Linked DNA regions of Oryzias latipes. The protein of the gene in region 1 purifies or fractionates together with the protein of each later gene. This does not show direct contact. Links are inferred from orthologs where the notes say so. Each region holds a gene or a part of one and is shown in the gene's direction. Other genes may lie near its edges.

The links.
Region 2: the proteins of asxl1 (region 1) and ogt purify together in Homo sapiens (affinity purification with mass spectrometry; 3 studies listed by BioGRID and IntAct, with this or other methods). This does not show direct contact. The link is inferred for Oryzias latipes from reciprocal best matches to the Homo sapiens genes ASXL1 and OGT.

What each region holds. Positions count from the first base shown.
Region 1 is NC_019865.2:30,116,874-30,127,381, reverse strand, and holds the end of asxl1 (putative Polycomb group protein ASXL1), read left to right. Parts: coding exon 1-103; intron 104-4,233; coding exon 4,234-6,813; 3' UTR 6,814-7,135; downstream 7,136-10,508.
Region 2 is NC_019868.2:18,361,378-18,373,283, forward strand, and holds the start of ogt (UDP-N-acetylglucosamine--peptide N-acetylglucosaminyltransferase 110 kDa subunit), read left to right. Parts: upstream 1-6,072; 5' UTR 6,073-6,398; coding exon 6,399-6,435; intron 6,436-7,751; coding exon 7,752-7,932; intron 7,933-9,762; coding exon 9,763-10,006; intron 10,007-10,124; coding exon 10,125-10,193; intron 10,194-11,906. UniProt on the Homo sapiens protein: Catalyzes the transfer of a single N-acetylglucosamine from UDP-GlcNAc to a serine or threonine residue in cytoplasmic and nuclear proteins resulting in their modification with a beta-linked N-acetylglucosamine (O-GlcNAc).

The sequences.
Region 1 (10,508 bases):
ACCACGACTTGACAGCCGTCAGTCCTTTCGTACCACAATTGACGGTGTCTGTTCAGAAAAGCCGCAGCCAACAACCGAAGAACCGAAGGTGCCACCCATTCGGGTAAGAATGTGTAACTACGAATCTGAAGACTCTGCCCCGCTTCATTGGCCCCACTCGAGAAAAACAAGCTTCTTTAAATGTGACTACTATGTTGGGCTTATTATTCAAAAATTATTATATAGTAACAGTTTCTACTCTGCCTAAAGGAATATAATCACATTAAATATGAGGTCTTATCAAAAGTAGCAGGTAATTGGTTGTATTACTTCTCTTTTACATCCCATCTTCTCCATGAGGCAAAAAGCTGTTGGAGTAACATGGAAACCTATCTGAGGGTCAAGAGAATCAGTCTGGACTTTATAAATCCTTAAACCCATCTTACTGCCATAAGTAAGAGCATCTAGAGCTCACCGTAATAGCTTTTTATTATTGTTCACTATTACTCAAACCCCGAAATTCAAAAGTTTCATGTGGTTCTGATGTGCTGTTTCTAGGCTGGACTCAATTAAGTAATTTAGTACTGTAGCTTTTTTTTGACATAAATAATCCCAGGATCTGAAATGATTAATTGGTCAGTCTTTTTTTTTTTTTTTACTTTTAAACTGTAAACTTTAGCAAACTGATACCAGCAAGCAGCAACTTTAAACTGATTACTCGTTAGTGTAATATTTAAGTTTCTTTGTTCTCTCAAAAACCCATGCAGATGCAAAAAAAAAAGTTACCCTAAAAAGTATTTATTGTATTTGTTACATCGGATTATATGGCACAAAATCAATAAATGATCTATTTTCAAACTTATGTCATATTTGATGCACACAGAACCATAAGACTCATTAAGAGAGTCAGAGATGGATCAGTCTGTCCAACTTCATTGACTGTTCACAGTAACTGTAAAACTTGTTCGTATCGTGCTACATGTTGGAAGCCTTAGCTACGTTAGTGTACTTACAACAACTAACTCCCAACTTTGTTTGCATCACGTAAGAGACAGACTGATGCTGCTAAAACAAATGTTACTGTGATTATACTAACTCCCAACCTTGACAGTCTCACGTAAACAAAACGCCACTATATTGTTAGCTATGTTAGCGTATTCACAATAACACCCAATCTTGTTTTTAGCTTGTTTAAAAAAAACAGACTTACATTTTGATAGAGCACAATGTACCCCTCAAAATCACTTCATCAGTAAACACAACTAGAATTAATCCACATGTTGAAGTTCAATAGCACGAATAGCTAATAAACTTGACGAAGTGAAGTAAGAAAGCCCTTTTCCAAACAAAAACACCTCAAAGAAAATAAAATCAGGTAAACAATCTGCCATAGTAAAAGTCAATAATGGCTATCTGCAACTTTTATCGTTCATTATTTTTTGCATTACAGACATATTAGACGTGTTTTCATAGGCCTTTGAAAATAATGACCTTGGAGTACTGTTGTTGCTGTTTGTGCTTTTGCAGCAGCGATGTGTGTAGATGTGCTATATGATGCACGTTGTAGGTGACGTTCTGTTAACAGGATAGTAAAATACTGGATCTGATGGGTGTGGAGTCTGCCATGATCTTTGAGGTTTACTCAAGTGAAGGCCTCTGCAGATCTTTGACATGGAGCACTTGACAGAAGATGTCGTCTACATCCAACCTTTTTCACACCACTGACCGGTTTAATGCCAGACAATATTTCCAAAGTTTGCGTTTGATATTTTTTCACCAGTTTCTAAGAACCATATTTTTTAAATTAAATTTCTGCTACAAGTAATTTAGTTTAAAAAAATCTATAGACAGATGACGAAGATTCAGTGAAACAAAGTTGTTGGCAATGATAAGATAAGATAAGATAAAGATACTTTATTGATCCCAGCTTGGGAAATTCAGTTGTTGCAGCGTCGGCGTTAGGCTCAAGATACAAACTTACACACAATAGATGACAGAGAACCAAAACAATCAATCGGAAAGAAACATCAGTGAATTAGCACAGTCGTATTGCATGCCACATCAGGAGAGAGAAAATAGACGGACCATAAATGACTTTATCTATTGCACATGGATGACAAGTTATAGAGTCCAATGGAGTGAGGAATGAAAGATCTCCTGAAGCGGTTTGTGTGACAGCGAAGCTGCCTTAGTCTGTTGGAGAAGGAGCTCCGCTGACCATCCAGTACAGGATGGAGAGGATGCTCAGGATTATCCATGATGGATACCAGTTTATTTAAAGTCCTCCTCTCCATCACAGATTCAAACGTGTCCATTTTGCAACCAATTACAGAGCCCGCTCTTCGGATCAGTTTGTTCAGTCTATTGCTGTCCCTAGCAGATATGCTGCCCCCCCAGCAGACCACCGAGAAGAACAGAGTGCTGGCCACAACAGACTGGTAGAATATTTCAAGCATCTTGCTGCACACGTTGAAGGACCTCAGCCTCCTCAGGAAATGGAGTCTGCTGCTGGCCTTCTTATACACAGCAGTGCTGTTGCTCTTCCAGCTCAGTCTGTTGTCGATGATTACTCCCAAGTACTTGTACTCCTCTACCTCTGCCACATCTCTGCCAAGGATGTTGAGAGGCTGGGAAGCTGGTGGTTTCTTCCTGAAATCCATCACCATCTCTCTGGTCTTTTCCACATTCAGCTGCAGGTTGTTTTCTCCAGACCATCTCACAAATTCATCCACAAGATCCCTGTACTCCTCCTCCCGCCCACCATTAATGCAGCCAACAACAGCAGAGTCATCAGAGAACTTCTGAAGATGGCAAGACTCTGAGTTGTACTGGAAGTCACTGGTGTATAAAGTGAACAGGAAGGGAGAGAGCACAGTTCCCTGTGGGGCCCCCACACTGCTTGTCACCACGTCAGACAGGACACCGCCCAGCCGGACAAACTGCGGCCTGTCTGACAAGTAGTCAATGATCCAGGAGACTAAGGCGCCGCCCACACCCATCCGCTGCAATGGTGATAGTAGTTCCCATAGATATGACTCAGAGCAACTCAAATCAATCACTGTCAACTGGATTCAACATGGCGGCACACGTATCAGGAAGCAACGGTACTTCCTAATTGATAACCTGAGAAGGGAGAGTTTGAGCTGTGTATTGCTTTTAAAAGTCAATGCTCTCAGGGCAAAAAGATTTATCATTTTGTTTTTACAGAAATTATTGTGAATATTTTTATCACAGAGGAACATTTTCTGTGCCAAAATTTCTTAGAAGATGCTTAATTCAGCCTTGCTTTAGGGAAATTCACAAATGTCTGTTTTACAAGTTTTCACAAATCAGCAACTTTATTCTTTGTCAAATTCCTGCGGCTGGCTAAAACTGAAATTGTGACGTCAAAGTGGAATGCTAACAACTGGATGCTAACTTTCGCCGTCACACCACCGTCCTAAAACTGGTATTTTCTAAATATAATAATAGAATCCACTCTGTCTGCATCTTTATTATCTGCATGCGTTAAACATTTGAGAATCAGTCACCGCATATTAAGACGAGCAGCTTCTGGTACATGAGAACAACTGTCTTAATGAATCCATATTTGGAGGAAAACTCCTGGTTTTGTCTGTAAACAGCAGTTTCATGTTTCTTTGAAGTCAAAGACTTTTCTTCAGTTTCCTCACTGATTCTTTTCTCCCAAAAGAAACTTTCCAAATACGTTTTGTTGTTTGGCTACCAACTTAGTCCGAAAACTGCTTAAGTTCACATGATGTGTCAAGACTGACAGATGTGGTGATCAGAACCCAGTGGTTTTCCAAAAAAAAACCTCCGTCAGTATCAGATAATAAACAACACAAAAATAATCAAAGTTAGCCTTTGTATTATTATTTTTTTCTGTCTGTGGCCCTGTACCAAGTGGCCCACGGACTGGTACCAACCCGCAGCTGGGGGGTTTGGGAACACTGCTCTACATGTCTCACAAGATACTTCTTTGAAAGATTTTTTTACAATCCAATCTAATAAAATAAATAAAAAACACAATTTATAAGACAAACTGGCACAGTTTTCATAAAATGCTAGAAAAATAGGGTTGGAAAACTATTTTTTCCCCCCACTTTTGCTCCAATCACTTGTCTGGGACAATCCAGTTAATAATTTTATGAAAATACGGCATATTATGGACCACCAATCCAGTAATATATATCGATGTGCACTACACAACTCTTGCACATATTGATTGCCATCTTCTGTCCTTTTTTCTCCTAGATTCAACTATCCAGAATCAAACCTCCATGGGTCAAAGGGCACCCCACTTACCAGATCTGCCCACGGATTGTGCCCTCCGGAGAGGGCTCACGCCGCTCTGGAACTGGGGGAGCACGAACTCTGGCAGACATCAAAGCCCGAGCCCAGCAAGCCCGAGCCCAGAGGGAGGCCGCTGCTGCTGTTGCGGCCTCTGGCGAAAGGACAGGGACGACCAGTGTCGGGCTGCGGCCTGCTCTTGGGCTATCGGATAGCAACAGTGAACGACGAAGAAGAGAGCACCCAGGACCAACCGAGCCTGGAGGAGGGGGGCAGGAAGGAACCGGAGATGAGAAGAAGGCGGCCAGTGAAATGGAGGAGCAGGAATCGTCTTCAGACGCTAATTCGTCTGGAACACAATTACAGCTTCAATATGTAGAAGCTCACTGTTCCCCTTCATTATCCAACACATCCACCTCCATGTCTGTGGAGTCCCCACAGGCCCCCAGTCCCCACCAAGAGGGGTCAGCTAGGAGTCTGAAAGTAACAGAAGAGGTTGAAGAAACATCAGCAACTTCCCAGAGCTCCCCCTGTAGGTTCACAGACGGGCCTTGCAATCTCTCCCCAGATCCCAACATTACATCCAAGTCATTGGGCACCCAATCTTTTCAGGCAAACCATTTGCAGGAGTCAGCCGATGTCTCCGAGATGGCAGGCAAAGGTTGTGTAAAAACCATCCTGACCCAAACATCAATCCCTGATTCCATCCCTAGGTTTGGGACTCAGGGTGTAGACATTTTACAGACAATTGCCACTTCTTCTCAGAACAAAAAGCAGGAAAGACAAAAGGAGGATGGACCCTGTGTCATCGTCCAGCATAGTTCACACCATGAGGAACAGCGGGAAGTTTCGTCTCATTCAGTGGTGAAACAGCCAGAGGGTTCTCTTCCTCAATGTGATGTGAATCTCAGCATCAGCAGAAAGAAAGAAGAAGATGCAAATACACACAGTGACTCCACAGAAACTGCTTCTGACTGTGAGAATGAAGACCAGGAGGACGGGCAGCAGGAGTTGGCGGACCAAGAGTGGCGCTATCCTCTGAGTACCCAGTGCCCTGGTACTCAGAGCCAGCAGCTCATTGTGCAGTCCAATATGCTGGGTCACAAGGGTCAGACAGTCATTCAGCCTTGCTTTCCAAATGGTCTACCTGAGCTTCAGCATAACCACCCTGAGTCCCAGGACCACCATTCTGTCATTACGGCACCTTTGCTGGGTTTCAGAGAAAAGAATGCTGTGGTAAAAATTAAGCTCAAAGAGGACCGTAAAGCCTCCAGAACAAGTTATGTTGAGGAGTGCCAAGGATCTTTAAAGTCTCCTGTCATTCATTTAAATGTTGCTGCTGCTCCCAAAAGACTGGCTGGTCCAGCCAGATCTGTTTCAAGTGTGGAGGCCAACAACCCTCTTGTTACTCAGCTTCTACAGGGCAGTCTTCCCCTTGAAAAAGTCCTCCCTTCACACTCAGCCAACAGGCTGGAGATAAGCCGACTCCCAGGAACTCAATCCAGGACACCAACTCTAAAGAACCCAGGAACTCGCAACAAAACTGAGGTCCCAGTCCAACTTTCTAGTCCAGAAGAATCAGCTGTTCCTCAGGTTCTTAACCTGTCATCAGTAGAGCAATCTGGTTCCTGTCAGTCCCCAGTTGTGTCAGACTACCACCCTCCGATGGCCCCTGGTGCTGTCCCAGTTATTACTTCTGCACCACCCTCTTTTTCTTCTTCTGGATTGTCATCCAAAACCAAACCAGATGTGTCTCTTACTGCAGTGGAGTCTACGGTCAACAAGTCTCATGGCTCCCACTCATCACAGGAGGGTGTTGCCAACCAGTGCCCAGATACTCATGGGAGTATACCTAATTTACCCTCCCCTCCCTATGTGGACCCCTGTCCCCTGGAGGGGGTGGCAATCATAAAGGTCAATCTACGGCCTCAGCAACCTCAGCAGGTGTCTCCTGCTTCCCCTCCGAAACATGAAGCTAGCACCCGGCCGTCTTGCCAGGCCTTGGCTAAGGCTACGTCAGCTTTAACCCATGGTGTTCTCAAAAAGGAACCTGGGAATGCAATAGATGGGTACCTGTGTGGAGGAGCCATGGAGGGACTTCTCAACATGGAGCTGACACTGGCAAGGATAGCCAAAAAAGACCATGGAAAAGTTTCATACTCATCCAGCTCCCCTTCACCCTTGTCCTCATCTCCCTCACCTTCCTCTTCCGCCTCCTCCCTGCCCTTCCCGTTGTATGGAAAGCTTCCCAAACAGAGTGGATGTGTGGGAGCTGTTAGCTACACAGCCAACCTGTCAATGATGGACAACAGTGGTTTTACCCGGGGTGTGACTGAAAGCGTGCTCCAGCTACGCCCTCGTCTGGCGCCCAGCCACGCTACTCTCAGCATCCAAGCATTCGCCGACAGTGCAACCGACGAGGTGGCCCTGAAGTGCTCCTGCCGCCTCAAAGCCATGATCATGTGCCAAGGCTGTGGGGCTTTTTGCCACGATGATTGCATTGGACCCTCCAAACTGTGTGTGTCGTGCCTTGTTGTCAGATAGTGGGTTTTGGTGGATTTGCTGTTGGAGGTATGGTGGATGTGCACATGCCCTGTAAATCTGGTCTGTTTCTTTGGTTGTTGCTGATATCAGATTTTTAAGCTGTATTGTTTATTGATATTATTATTATTATTGTGAACTTGGAGCATGATTAATTGTACATTTTGCCATTTACCTCATGTTGTCTTGCTCCGCTTGTTATCAGTGGTAGATCACAATTTTTTTGACATCTAATTTGCTCCGCAAACTAGAAAGTATTGTCTCTTTGCAGAGTTATTTTTTTAACCATTGAAAGGAATAAAACATTGCTTCGTTATTTTAAGTTTGAATAGTTTTTCTGTTCATTTTAGTCAACTAACGAGATCATTACTCATCGAAATTTTAAAATAAAATGCAGAATCAGCATTTATGTGAAAACTATAAAATCATTTAAACAATTGCTAAGATGTATTTCACTAAAATATGTAAAAACAGATAAAAAAACAGGAAAACCTCTAGATAGATGTTTATTTTTGCCAAGAACTATTTTTCTAAAAAAATTTGGCTTTAGAATTGCTATTAAATGTCTGCAGCTCCTTAGGCGACTAAAAATAAGTGCTATGCAACACTTGAAGAGTAAAAATAACATAATTGGAGAATTAACAAGCCCAGTAATACTACTATCCAAATTAAATATTTAAGATTATTTAATGCCTCCTGCTGTCACTTGGGGATGCTTTTTGAGGAAATTTAAATCCATTGGACTAAAAATGATTTGGCAGTTGCATATTCTTTACATTTTTCCCATATAAAAAGCTAAGAGTTTAGTAACATGTTTTTGAAAATCCTATTTTTTTATCATCTTTTAGCTGTAGTTTAAATTATTTAAGTTATAAACAGACCAATCTGATGCCTCAAAAAAAGTAAGTGGCTTTGCTTCAAGCGTTCGAAGCCTTTGACTGATTCTTCCAAGCCCGCTTTCAGTGGAAGGGGTGTTCAATTCTATATTATTTGTGTAGCCCAAAATCACAACATTCATCTGAATGGGCTTTGTATAGGCAATTGTAAAGTAAACATGAATTCAAAAGGATCGACAATACATAGAATTCAATAGGAAAATACTGAACTAACTAAACAGAATAAACTAAACTGGGCAACCCTGCCCTTAGGGTGTGGCCTTCTAAAATGCTCACTGCTGATTGGAGAGTGGTTGCCATAGAAATGTAGACTTAGACCAAAATGGACCAATCACGGCTTACAAAGGATGTCTGGCTCCAACATGGCGACGGACTCATTGTGGAAAAATGGCAACTGAATTGACTTCATTTGGTTGGACCCTGAAGCAAGGCATTTTCTATGGGTGACATCCATAGACTGTAAAAACAATGGACAGCTCTACCCCTCCCTTCGTTTGTTTCCAGACAGTAAGTATCTGCTGGTTTCAAGAAGCCAAAATCCCATAGACTTCAATTTAAAAATAGACTGATATTACTGATTCATTTGACAGATTTCATCCATGCTGTCTGAAGGCCTTTTCCTTCTTATTTTGCAATTTTTCTTGCAGCATAAGAAAAAAAACTTTTCCCGTGCCTTTCTGGCTCAACACGGATGAACCAGGAGTGAAAAACTATAAAAAATAAGAATAAAGGTTAAATGCAAAATAACTGTTGGCAGATTCAAATGTTTGAATGGTTCTCTCTTAACCCTTGTGCTATCCTAGGCACTTTAACATTGGGAGTTGGGTCATCTAGACCCACTAGACAGTGCGCTGAACCTTTTTTCTTCAATGATTTGTGATCTTCACTGGTGTCCATGGATTACATGAAATCTTTCCACCTTTATCCACCTTTGTCATGGTAGGGAGAACACGTCAATGTAAGGGGGGGGTCATCTGGACCCACTAGACAGTGCGCTGAACCTTTTTTCTTCAATGATTTGTGATCTTCACTGGTGTCCATGAAATCTTTCCACCTTTGTCATGGTAGGGAGAACACGTCAATGTAAGGGTGGGGTCATAGGATAGCACAAGGGCTATCGGCGTGTACAATTCTCCCGAGCCGCGTCATTGACTGGCTAAAGGGGAAAGCTGAATACAGTCTGTGTTTCCATCACAACAATGTGAAAAACGTTATTAAAATTCTAGAAATCAAACCAAATTAAAATTGCGAATAAACACAAACCAACTCACGCTATAAGTCCTTCAAAAACACGGATGTGAACAATACCTTGCATTCACAGCAGATGCATTCAAATATCTGTGTGCATATCTCATTACAATGTATGGAGGACATGGATGATGTTTAGAGATTGGATTTATTCATTTTTAAAAAAATTCTACAAAACCATCTGTAATCATGTTCATGAGATCAATCAGTCCCCTGGTATTAGCTCCACTCCCGCTGTAAAACTGCTTTCCCTGACTACTGTGTCTCTGCAACCCACATTAGTTCAGGAGGGGAAAAACGAAAACTAGAATCAAATTATACGATATTGGTTTCTAAATCGCTCTGGCCATCTGCTATGCCGGGATCCAGCGGGGCGACTGCAGGCTGGCGTCCTGTCCAGGCTGTATCCCTCCTTCGCTCAACAGTAGCTGGGACGGGCTCCGGCAACTCTGCGGTCCCAGAGTGGAATCATTAAGAAAATGGTTCCAAGCTGTCTACCTGTGCAGAGTTGTTGCTCTTGTGACTTATTTAATTTTCAAAAAGTGTTTTCATTACAGATTTTGCGTAACATGTCCCTTTCGATACACCTCAGAAAATCCTCTAAGCACAAAAGCTTATTTTTTGATAAATGTGAGTATTTTCAGAAATTTTCATGTTTCCATTAGGCAAATTTATTATCACAAATCCAATTTGCGCAATTTCATTTTCAATAGAAATGTAGCAGCAAGAGATGGTCTCACAATAAGCTCACTCCTGTTTGGCAGCAGTAGTTGCCATAGATACGATGACTCAGAACGAGGCAGCCCAATCACTGCCGACTGATTTCAATATGGCGGCGTCCATGTCAGGAAGCAATGATGAGGGATTTGGCCTGATTAAGTCAGGTAAGGCATTTTCTATGGATGACGTCACACCTCAATTTGTCCATCATTTTTACAGTCTATGGGGACATCACACATGGTTCGTCGAGTTATATTATACAGTCAATGTCTGTACAACCTCCTGACTATCTGAAAAATCAACTTTTTTTTTATCCACAAAAGACACAATTCCCAGAGGCCCACTCCTTCACATTTGATTTCACTACATCCCCACATGTCCCCTTTAGATACTAAAAAGAAGGTATTCAGTAGTACGCAACTGAAAGATATTCAGGTTTAGAAATGTCCTCTGCAGAAGACACATTGCATTGCTGGTAATCAGGAGCATATTGGTGTAAAAATAACTATTTGGTCAGCAATCACTGTGTAATGGAACCATGGTCAAAAGTTCCTGTCGGTCTTCTGCAGATTTGCACACAATATAGTTCTCAATGCTCTCACTGATGAATGGAGGTTTTTACCCAATAGCTCATCATAAAAGTGATCATCATTCATCCTTTGTTTATACAGGGAGATTGTCGTGTCCTCTTTACTGAAAAGCAGATCTAAAGCATGTTTCCACCCCCATGCTTCACAGTGGGCATGTTGTTCTTAGGATGCAGCTCAGCCTTCGTCTCTCTCCAAACTAGGTGAGTGGCGTTTACACCAAAAAGTTCTGTTTTGGTTTTTTATC
Region 2 (11,906 bases), on another chromosome or scaffold:
GAATGGCTGAAACAAAAGGAGTCAAGCACTGAGAGGGACAACAGGTGATGAATGCTGAGATGTGAAAGATGGTAGGTACCAGGCAGGTCCTGACACCTCAACTGCAAACACCAGTTCTGACCTGTCCTCTCTCTGACACCTTAAAGTACAAAAACCACCACTAAAGCATAAAAGTCTTTCTACAAGTCAATTTTTCCACATTTGCATGCACTATCAGGTCATAGAAGGGAAGGAAACATGCAGTTACAAAAAAGAAAAAAACATCCACAGCTGCGTTGATAATGTTTGACCTAAAACTGTGCATTCTTGAAGCAAAAACAAACCGATTATGGCTGAGCTTTTATGTGCATACTTTTTCTGTTCACACACAACTTCCAACCACAAAATGCGAGGCTATAAAACGCCAGTCTGCACCTGACAAATGTCTTAAATAAAGACCAGGAGGATGAATCAAAGTGTCTAAACCTGATGATTAAGCAGGCTGGCAGCTAAAATCCTGCATCCTCCTACTTCTTTGCTTAAGAGAGCAACATCTGGTAACACCCTTTGAATCTGTGAAAACTTTCCGTATTGTCTTAACACAGATTGGGGCACTTTAGAAAGTACTTTTGTTCATTTTTTATGTCATCTTTTTCCTAATAGAAAATATTTAAAGCAACATGTGTTTTTGTTAATGTAGGTATTTGATAAAATATGGAATTATTACACCTCTTGAGGAAATGTTGCCTTTATTTTAAAATCATATCATTTGAACTTAAGTGAAACTTTTAGTTTTATTTTATAGACGTTGCTTTTTGTGAAAGCAACATCAAAAAATAAAGTGAATACTGTTTTTAATCTTTAGGGAGAGATTTATTCTGTTTTTATTTTTGATTCTCTGCAAAGAAAAACCCAGAAATTCAATCTGAATCTTGGAAAAAAAAAGAAGAAGGAAACTAATTGAGTTATTTGCTCAGTAGCAGACTAACATCCAGTCTTGAAAGTAAGATGTTTGATAGAAGGCTTTGCAAGACATAAACAGCTTCACTCCCTCTGTATTCCAAAGCAACCCAAGCATTCCAAAGCATCTCAGATAATATGGGTCATTGGTGTGCACTGGATCTCATCCTAAAACAAATGGGCTGCAAAAATTTAGGCCACTCTCTCGGTCACAACATATCTGGACCCATCAATTAACCAGCACAGCAGACCCTGAGTATCAGCACATTTGTTTTTTTAATAGAGGCTAGTCTAAATTAATCTGTTAGCAAATATTTTGCGCTCACGTGTTTCCTAAAATAGTACCCGGAAAGTGGAGCTTTTGTGTTTAGATCAAACAGACTCTTTGAGATGGAGAAGATGTGCACATTTTTATAACCTTCCCATGCACAAAGATAAAGCATGTCAAATGCGATTGCTGTACGCACACAGCATCCATTACATCATCCTTTGCACAGGCGACCCTGAGCAGTATGATGAGTGAGTGAGAACGAGAAGAACGTGCAGAAGAGTACATGAACCCAGCACCCTCTGGATGCTTGGGGCGTTCAGCGCAAAACCAACAGAAGCATTGATGTTAGCTGCTTCACAGAAGAGGGCGCTGTAAAACAAGAGTCTGACAAACAACAAATCCATTTTCAGCATCTCTAAAGTACACAAACATTTTAAAGGCATCACTTATTCCTTAACTTGAACAGTAGTAAAACATTGTTTCCATTCACAAATCCAATGAAACTCAACACAAACTGTGATAATGAAATTGGTTCTTAAAGTTTTTTTTTTCCACTTCTCTTATGAACTTAAGTTTAAAATTTCAGTTTCACTAGTTATTTTTGCATCAAAAATCATTGATTCTGAAATTAAGTTCCCTGACCAAAATTGAAGGAAAATACTGGAAAAAACTCAAAGAAAACATTATTTATTGTATATTTACTAAGTCCACATGAGGTCATTATGGGCCTTTTATTAAAATAATCTTCAGATATAAAAGTCTAAAATTTGACTAAAATGCAACATAAGGATCATGGCACACCTGTAAAGTCTTGTGTTTAGGAGGATAGCTTAGTTTAGATAAAATACATTTCACAAGTTCTACTGCTAATAAGGATGAATATTAAACTATGGCCTTTTTAAATAGGTACTTAAAATTGATCAGAAAGCAGTAAAATAAGACAATTTAATGTCAAAAGTACTGCTCCATGTGAACGTCAAAGGCTGAAGACCTAATAGATGCTGCCCCCTGTTGGTAATTTTAAGTACTGCATAAACACACCTCAATGTTTTGAAAAGTGAAATGTATGCGTTTCAAATTAAATTATAAAATAATAATAAACACAAAAATAATTTAATATAGGATCAGAGTATTTTCTTCATGCAAGATAATTAAAAAGTCTGCAAACCGGTTTAAAATAGTCTGGAGAAGACACTTTGATTAGGGTGTTATCCTGTTGTTTCAGCATGACTCTGTGGTATGAAGGTCACAAGAATAAAACTGTTCTGTGTGCAGTACAAAGACCCACCTGTCATATTGGGATTGCAAAGAGACTTTGGTGTCTTCAGGGTGGGACTTTTCAGGACATATTAATGCCACATTAAAAATCACCTTTGGCACTCTAAGAGGAAAAACAAACAAATAAAATTCAATTAGTACAATTAGGGGTTTTTATTTGGAAAAGTTCCACTTGGTCAGGTCAACAAACAAGATATAGTTCAAATAAATGCATGTGCTGCATTGTTACAAGAAAGCTATGAGATAAAATCTTACCTGAGGCCTTACTGTGAGTAGGTGAAAGTTCTCATTAGTCTCTATGTGGCCTTTTAATGACTTGGTACACCTTATTCACCTTCTATAGAAGGCAAACCCACAGTAGCACTGCACAGAATAAAATGATTAAAAAAGAATGATTCAAAAATGGACATGAACAGTAAAAGTAAAATAAAAATGACAAAGGAGAATGATGAATTATGTGTTGTTTCAGCTGCCAAGGAAATTATGACAGCCTGCATGTATGATTGAATTAAACTTTTTTTTATTTAGCAATTTATAATTACACAAGAGTACTTATGTGGGTTTCAATGAAAAAAAAGGATAAAAATAGAATATTTTTGATTTTTTATATTATAAAATTATAAAACACACAAGATACCATGATCCCTCATGACCCCCACACCCAACATATGGAAACATAAAATGAGATCTAAAACTCAAATTATGACTGGAAACAGCAATCAAACTAAGCTATAATTGACAGGGTGCTGGTGAAGTGAGTACCGGAGTGATGTTCAATCAAACTGTTCAAAAATGAACAAAGAAAAAAAGACATCTGCTTCCGGGTCAGAGTTTTTTTCATTATGATGACACGTTATTGTTACTAGACTCATCCAGGGTGACGGCGCCATTGACTTTCAGGAAAGGATAACCTCAGAAGTGTGGTTTAGATTAGTGCTAGAGCTTGTTCTCAGGAGACATAAAAGTGGATGAACTTGTTATTGAAGACTTGACAAAAATCTAGACCATGGAGCCATTTTACATTAAAGTTAATCGAAACAGATCTGTAAAACAAGCCACCTACCTGGAAGACTGAGTAGACTCCAGTTCTTTTTAAACATAATCAAATCTAGATGGTATAGTGTTGCTCCCACTAATGTCGTTTTCTTGTTTTAGGTGAATTTAATCCATTTAATTGGAATGAAACTGTAAATTCACTGTGACCACTGTAGAGATGATTCATGGGATGTCACCTAGAAATGTCATCTTGGAGCCACTTGCATTTGTAGCTCATGCTTCTGTGCTGTGAAATTCTAATGTGTAAATATCTGCTCAATTTTAGAATAGAACAAAGGATCCAGAGGAGACGAGAGGAAAGCAAAAACAACTTAAAACAACTCTGGTTCTTCTAGTATTTTAAATCTTCTTTGTAAATCTTTGACTGTATTGTGACACAATTCACACAAACCAACATGGAGACAAAACACATTTCAAAGGAGAAAGCATGACACTAAACCAATGACTGGATAACATCTGGAGCACTCTGGGCTTCAGGTAGACCCGCATGGGCCCTTTTCAGAAACATGTGATAATCAAAGACAAACAGAGAAACATGTGCCTGTTCTCGACACAACAAGAACACAAACGTATGTGGAAAACTTGATAGAAATCAGGTTCTGTGAGAACTGCTGTGTTGCACATCCGGGTTTGTTTTGCAAACAGACACGCCCTCGATCAGAAATGAAGGGAAGGCAGCTAAAGCAGGAGAAACAAGGAAGCAAAGGAAGAGCTGCTGATGAAGCCACATTCTAAGACACATTTTATTTATTTTCACTTTTGATCATCACATTTTTTTGGCAGTTATGTTTGCTTCAGGAAATTATCTTTTTGCTTCCTACTTTCGACTGTGTCGAGAGTTTGTAATACATACTTATGTTTAAAGAGATAGATTGACTGTAATAACATTTTAAAATTAAGAAATGTAAACCTTAGTTTTAGAGAAAATTTAACCCAGATATTTCCATTTTACTTAAGTAGATTTATAATAAATAAAAAAACAGCATTCTGATTTGTTTGTCTTGTTCCAATAATGGCAAAATATTGGTATAAGTATTCATTTGTATTAACAATGAATCATGAAAATTTGATCCAATATTTTACTTTAAAACTAATATTCAGAATCATTAATGCCTTATTTGACATTGTATTCCTGCAACAAAATTTGAGTAGCTACTCCTTAAATAGTGCTTTTGAAAAAAAAAAAGCATTTTTTGTATTCATTCATACATGTACATGCACACTTAAAAAAACCAACAAAAATGGTGCATGCATGCATAGGAGCATAGATTAAAACAGTAGAGAAAAAAGGGTAAACAGTAGATTTTAAAATTTGCAGTAAACTGGTTTATTTGCAAATTTATGACAGATCACAGCATCAGCACACCAGCAACATTTTTAATATGTCAGAAACAGGAGTTTGTTTGTTTTTTTATCTTAAATGTACATTTGCTGTTTGCAAAAACAGGGTTAAAAAACATTTGGTTAAAACAAAAACTAATTAATTTAAACATAATTAAGAAAAGAAAAACAAGGGTTTATGTTTGGATATCAATGTTGGCAAAACATATTAAGGAAAAACATTAAATATTGGCAAAAAATAAGATGTGTTAGAAGATGTCGATTAATCTTGCAGGAAAATTGCTTGGTTGAAAAAAACCATAAACATACTGCAAGTCCTAGAAATATTTTAAAAAGAAATAGAAATAAAGTTGTTTAAGCTCGGGACTTGAAGATTAGAAGAATAGTTATTCTGGTGCAAACACATCCTGTCAGTGATGTTCAATGTAAACTGAGCCTGTTGGCAACTTCCTTCACATAGCAATTGATGTTGATTTAACCAGAACTCTATCCATCAGGCTACAGTTTAAAAAAAAATCAGTTGACAAAATATATGTAACTAGTAAGGATTAGTAAACAGTATTTATGTGGAAAGATATTTAACAGTAGATTGTACATTTAATGCTTGCTTTACACATTAAGAAAATACCCTTTGCAGTTAAAAATAAAATAAAAGCTAACACCTGTTAAATGTCCCTGGAATTACAAATCTTATCTGAACTTCTTTTGTGTGTATTTGAATATGTTTTTTGTGTGTGTCTATATATATAAAAACTACAAGAAGAACTAAAATAAAATAAAAAGATAAATAAAACTACAAGAAGAACTAAAAGAAAATAAAAAGAAATCAAACAACCCACGGTTATGTAATGTTGATGTGTTTGTTACTAGACCAGCGCACCTTCCACTTCCTCGCAGCACAGCTGACACGTGACTCTTTCAGATACCTCCGAGCAGTGCTGCTTCCTTTTACCGTTTGAGTCTCACTGCACCATTGTATTCTTCCGCGTGGTTTTACCTTAAGTGTATAATTTTACATCAGGTTATATATATGTATATGTATAACTTCTTAATACAATAAAAATAATAATGTATATTGGGTTTATAGTCACATGTATTAATGCCCAACTATTATTTTCAATCAATGCCGGTGTCAGGATCTAGTTGATCACAAAAACGAGTTCCACCCAATTCGCCATTTTACGTTCACTAGCTGCTTTGTTGTGCAGATAGAATATCGTGAACGGTAGCGGTATATTTTTTATGTCATATGTAGGTGCAGTAACTACATTATCTGTGTAAATATACCCAAACAGCGGCATTTTAAGGTAGGGCTTTAGGAAATTTATTCTGAATACGAGATTAGTAGGTAACTATAACCCGGTCTACCTAGCCAGACAACAACGTGCTTTCAGTTTTCGTCTCAGAAAGACCACAGTTAGTTATAAGAAATACATCTATTTTTCTCTGAAGCTGTGAGCTCCCAGACGACACATTGACGACCGCCGTGCAAGAAACGAAGACTGCTGGGGAGATGGCGAGTTCTGTGGGAAACGTGGCAGACAGTACAGGTTAGTGGCTCAAAAAAATAAAAGCACCTCCTTTAGAAAGAAGCAACGATTTAAAATAGTTTTTAAAAGTAAATTTTAATCTAACAATGACCCTTTTGGTAATCCACAGCAATAAGGTAAATGAGGATGCTAGTATGTAAACCAGTAGCGCCGCTCTTCTAACACCACGGTACCAATTTATATGTATTAATAGATATATTATAATAAGGCTATTTTATTATATTTTTCGCCAATTTGTACCGAATATTCCTTCATTTGGCGTCTTAACCTAAACAGTATTAAGTCAAGACGAGCTAGCGTTGGTATTTGTAGATGTGACGTTTAAATGGGTAGGAAACGATTAAATCTTTGGCGCTGCAACATTTTTCCTCCTTGGGCGTCACTATGTTCATACATTTTATTTTTTTAAATCCTAAACTGAACATTTATCTCGTGGTTTTTGTCTGAGAAAATGGCCGCCAGCTAAGGGGCGTTTCGGTTTGCAATAAAGGGCGCTGAAATGAAGTGTCCTACTAAAATGCCTTCAAAGATATCTTATTTTTTAATTCATTTTTTTTTGGGAGGGACGGCGAATGTTAGGGATATATGTTTTTCAAAATTAGAAAATGACGAACAAGCTCAGTTTTAACGATAAACTAACTTTAACGCGATTATTAGCAGATTTTGCGTGCGTTGTGGTGCAGTTTTTTTCCACACACCCCACCCCCACAATAAAGACCCACTTCGATGAAAATCGTGTTTTTAACTTGTTCGTGTAGCATTTTTCTTATAATGGATGATATGTAAAGAAATTTAAGATTAAAATTCAATCGTGAATTAGCAGCAGCAGATGATAAAAATGCTGTTGGAAAAAGCTTGTAGCAGTGACGTAGATGCTACAGTAGGTGGAGCCACAATCTCCCTGTTCTCTATCAAGATGCACCTGTTTGATGACGAATAGACTTAATAACGTTTTCGTTTACTCTGCATTTTGGAAAAGCTAGTCTGACATATAAATTATGCGTTTCCTTAGTTGGAAAAAAGCGTCAGTGTGCATTTTTTATATACATTAAATTGTAATTAATTTATATGTACAGATGCTTATAGTTTGTATAAAAGTTGTGAAGTGTCCCCCTTATGTTCCCTCTTGTGACGTCATCATTTTTACCCATTATCACATTTTGAAGTTACATTTGTCAGGCATTTATTTTAATACAAACATTGTCATGTTTGCTTCTATTTTTATTTCTTCCTGTTTTTTCATTTGTCGTCTTTATTTTCTTTCATCACCTCTAACATGTCGTTTCCCCCCTCCTTGGCCTGTGTTGGTTGTCCAGAACCAACAAAACGTATGCTTTCCTTCCAAGGGTTGGCTGAGCTTGCACACCGGGAGTATCAGTCAGGAGATTTTGAGGCGGCCGAGCGCCACTGCATGCAGCTGTGGAGGCAGGAGCCTGATAATACTGGAGTGTTATTGCTGCTGTCCTCCATTCACTTCCAGTGCAGAAGACTTGACAGGTGAGAACACTTTATACAGGCTGGCAAATGAGAGCAGCAGAATGGAAGGGCTTTACAAATGAAAGGATCAAGAAATGGTATTTCCAACACTTTCTTTATTGTTAGAAGAAACCAGCCGTTTTTTAGCTGAGGTGCTATTTCTACTTCTTAAAGAGGCCTCTATTGATGATTCCCTAATCCTTTGACACCTGAATTTATTTCCAGTTATGAAAACATGTTTTTGTTTTCAAGTAGATGCTAAATAAAATTGAGATGGTAAATTTGACAAGAACACATAAAATAGATATGATTTTAGGTAAGTCACAAATCATCGACAATCAGCATCTACCATACTGTTTCCAGTATAGAGAATTTTAATCATGCAACACATTTATTCCTAGTATTTTCACTCTAATCACCGACAGAACTGATAAACCTTGAACTAAAGTCAACACAAAGCTTATTGTAATTGGCCTCCCCAGCCTTATTTTAATTAACAATAAATTGTCTCAAAACTTTAGAGTGAAGTCTTTTGCCTCTTTATTCAGTACATATTTAACTTCCAAATTTACTCAAATTGTAATAACTGTAATGACTATTTTTCTTATAAAAAACCTAGATTAACTGATCTAAATGTTTTGAAATTATTGTTAACTCGTTTGAAGTAGCACAAGCAGTTTTGTTTGTCTGGACGATTGTATTTTATTTTTCTACAGCTTCTGCAAACATAGAAGGGACATTTTTTGATCATATGGCAGACTTTGAGGCAGTTTTATTCCAGTTGAAAGCACAGGCCAACTCTACATTTGTCACAAATCTGAGGGGTGCTTCTTTTGTAGAAAACACTCCTTTTTTATATCCACTCTCATTAGAAGAAAGTCAGAATGCAGACAGCATGATGTAAATTAGGCCTGCACAATAAGTCACAAATGTATCATTATTGCGATATCAAGCTGTGCAATACGCGTATAGCAAAAGACCGCAAAATTGCAATGAATGGTAATCTTAAATGTGCTAAAACAGTCTTATGGCAGCCTGAAGTATGTAACGAATCAAAAAAATCCCTTAATGCATTTGACCAATCGGATCTGTTATGTTAGATGTTGGCCTCCTATGTAGACTACGTTTAACTCTTATTTAAATTAAACTGTACCAGTGAACTGGGAATTGTTTTTGGTTGTTTTTCCATTTTTTTATGTATCGTAAGTTATGTCATCGTCATGATATTGATCACTAATACCGCATATTGCGAGTGTTCCTCATTTTGTGCTGCCCTAATGTAAATCAATGACAAATCTGTATGATTTGTGTAACACAAACAATGCAAGTAGCATGTTTGCTGAAATACATCTTTGTTGGTACAGATATGCAGCAATGCAATAAAAGTAAATAAAAAAATCGGAGTACCACAGAAACATGACAGCAATAGTTAAAATTACACTTTTCTGGTAAATCTAATCCTTGGCACTTTTTTGTACATAAATGTTTTACTTGCATGCGGGATGAAGACCGTCCTGCATCTCCTGATTTTCCAACTCCTCTTCTTTCAAAGTTCTGACAAGAGTTTTGCTCTGGTTGAATTCCTAGACATTTTTTCACAATAATAACTTATATTTACAACATAAATTACGATGACACACTTTTAAAAACACAGCTTAAATTATGTATATTTCTTCTAACAACTATCGATTGTCTATTTGTTGATTGTCAACATCGTTGCATAAAAATTCGACACCGTGGAAACCACTGCAACGACAGGAAAGTTATGTAAATCAGCGCAAACGTGTGTTTTCTGCCGCTGGTGACCGTGTCGGTGTTGAGGGTTAACTGTGTTTATATTTTTGCTCACAGGTCTGCTCACTTCAGTACTTTGGCCATCAAGCAGAATCCAATGCTTGCAGAGGCTTACTCCAACCTGGGAAACGTGTACAAGGAGCGTGGTCAGTTGCAGGAGGCCATCGAGCATTATCGCCACGCACTGAGGCTGAAGCCGGACTTCATTGACGGGTACATCAACTTGGCAGCAGCTCTGGTGGCTGCAGGAGACATGGAGGGAGCAGTCCAAGCTTATGTGTCTGCTTTACAATACAACCCAGTAAGTGGTGTTATTAAGTACTTGAAAAATTTGGGGGGGGGGGGGGGGGGACTTGTTAGTGAAAACATTCTATTTTATTCTATTTTTAAATCTTTGTGTTTTTTTTTTTCTTTTACAGGATCTCTATTGTGTACGTAGCGATTTGGGCAACTTGCTCAAAGCCCTGGGACGTTTGGAAGAGGCTAAGGTACGCGTCTTTGTGTCTTCAATGCTAAAGATGTGGGTTTTATTTTCTCTCCTTTAGTTTTAGGATGTCTTTTTAGGCCATCGATTCTTCCTTTTTCTTTTATTTTTTCGTTACTTTTAGGAGCTTTATTAAAGTCCTCTTTTCTCTGGGGGCCAGATAAACATCAGCTTATTTTAGACTTGCAAGGAGCTTCTCACCTCACTTTAGAAAAGTTTTTTTGGAAATATTGAACTAGAGTCTAAAAGACTCATATTGCACTCTAAAGCTGTCCTTTCTTTAAACATTTTTCGAACTTAAATTATCTAAATCTTTATTTTTTCTGATCTTTTTGTACAAATTCTTTTTGACAATGGTCCTTATTACTTAGTCCCACTGTTTTTGCTGACCTTGCTAATGAAAGGTCATCCCCTCCCCTTTCAGGAAGAAAGGCTGCAGTAAGTGAACCCTTCAGATTGAACCCTGGCCCTGCATCCTAATGATGTTTATCTGGGAGGGAAAACGCTGGCTCGGTCTTTAAAGTGATTATGAACTGATATCAAGATAGAATTTATCTGAAGTGCAAAAGATAAGATGGTTTCTAACCTAACTGCTATACTCCTGTGTTGCATATCAAGTGCCCAATGACAATATTTCTATCCCTGTTTTCAGCTGGTAGTTTCTGCCAGTGTGGATCCTTTTTTATTTTTTTCCCCACTAGGAGTTTACAACTCAACTTTGTCACTTTAAAATGTGCTTGTCACGGGGGGGGGGGGGGGGGGGGGCTCCCTTGGTCCGTTCAAATCCGGTCATATGGAGTTGTCCTGCTGGTTACAGGCCATCTTATTTCATGCTAGAGGGGGGTAAAGGAGTGTGGAGGAGCATCAGGGAGTCACAAGCTCCCCAGCTCTGTAGCTCTGCCCCCCGCGCGCTTGCTAAGGATCGGTGGAGTGTGCGCAACCAGAGCTGTCTTCTTGACCAATCAGCTTCCCCTAGTTGATGCCGAGGCGCATCCCCACATGCCTTTCATGTCCAAAAGTCAGTACTTACACTGAGATTTACGATTAGTCAATCATTCTGATATTTATTGACATGCCCTGCCGTTTATTTACATATAAAGCTCATTCTTCAGTGCCTTAAGGCGGTTGAAGTAGTGTCAAGCAGACAGCTCACTCACTATTTGTGCTCCACCACCTGCGCCAGATGCTGGATTAGAAAGACAGTATGATGCGCAGCAGCAGCAATGACCTCTTTATTTCAGATCTGTGGAGACTTCTAGATACAAGTACTTAAACCACAGAATTTTCTTCCCTATCCATTGGCCAGGATTCAAGAAAGCAGGCCAGGATAAAGAAATCAAAGTTTTAAAAAATATATTTTCTGAAAATGCTAGTGGAATATAAGAAACGCATTGGTTCACATTTCTTCCCTTTTCCTTCAAATATGTAATAATATTCCTACTGAAATGGGATCAGTTCATTTGGGTAAGATCAAGCCAGTAATCGCCCTCTTTGTAGTTTGGTTTAAATTCTCAATTGGCAGGAAAATAGAGGTCTGACTACATGTCAGTGATTAACTGAACAGCAAAGCCTTTCTTCCCTCGGTTAGCCTGTAAGCAATCCTCTTGTTTTGTATCAGGCCCTCAATGCATGACTGAAAGCTAAAGCTAAAGCTACCATTTATTTTTGTTTTGTCGTGATTTGGTGCTTTATATCCATAATCAACAAATAATGTATT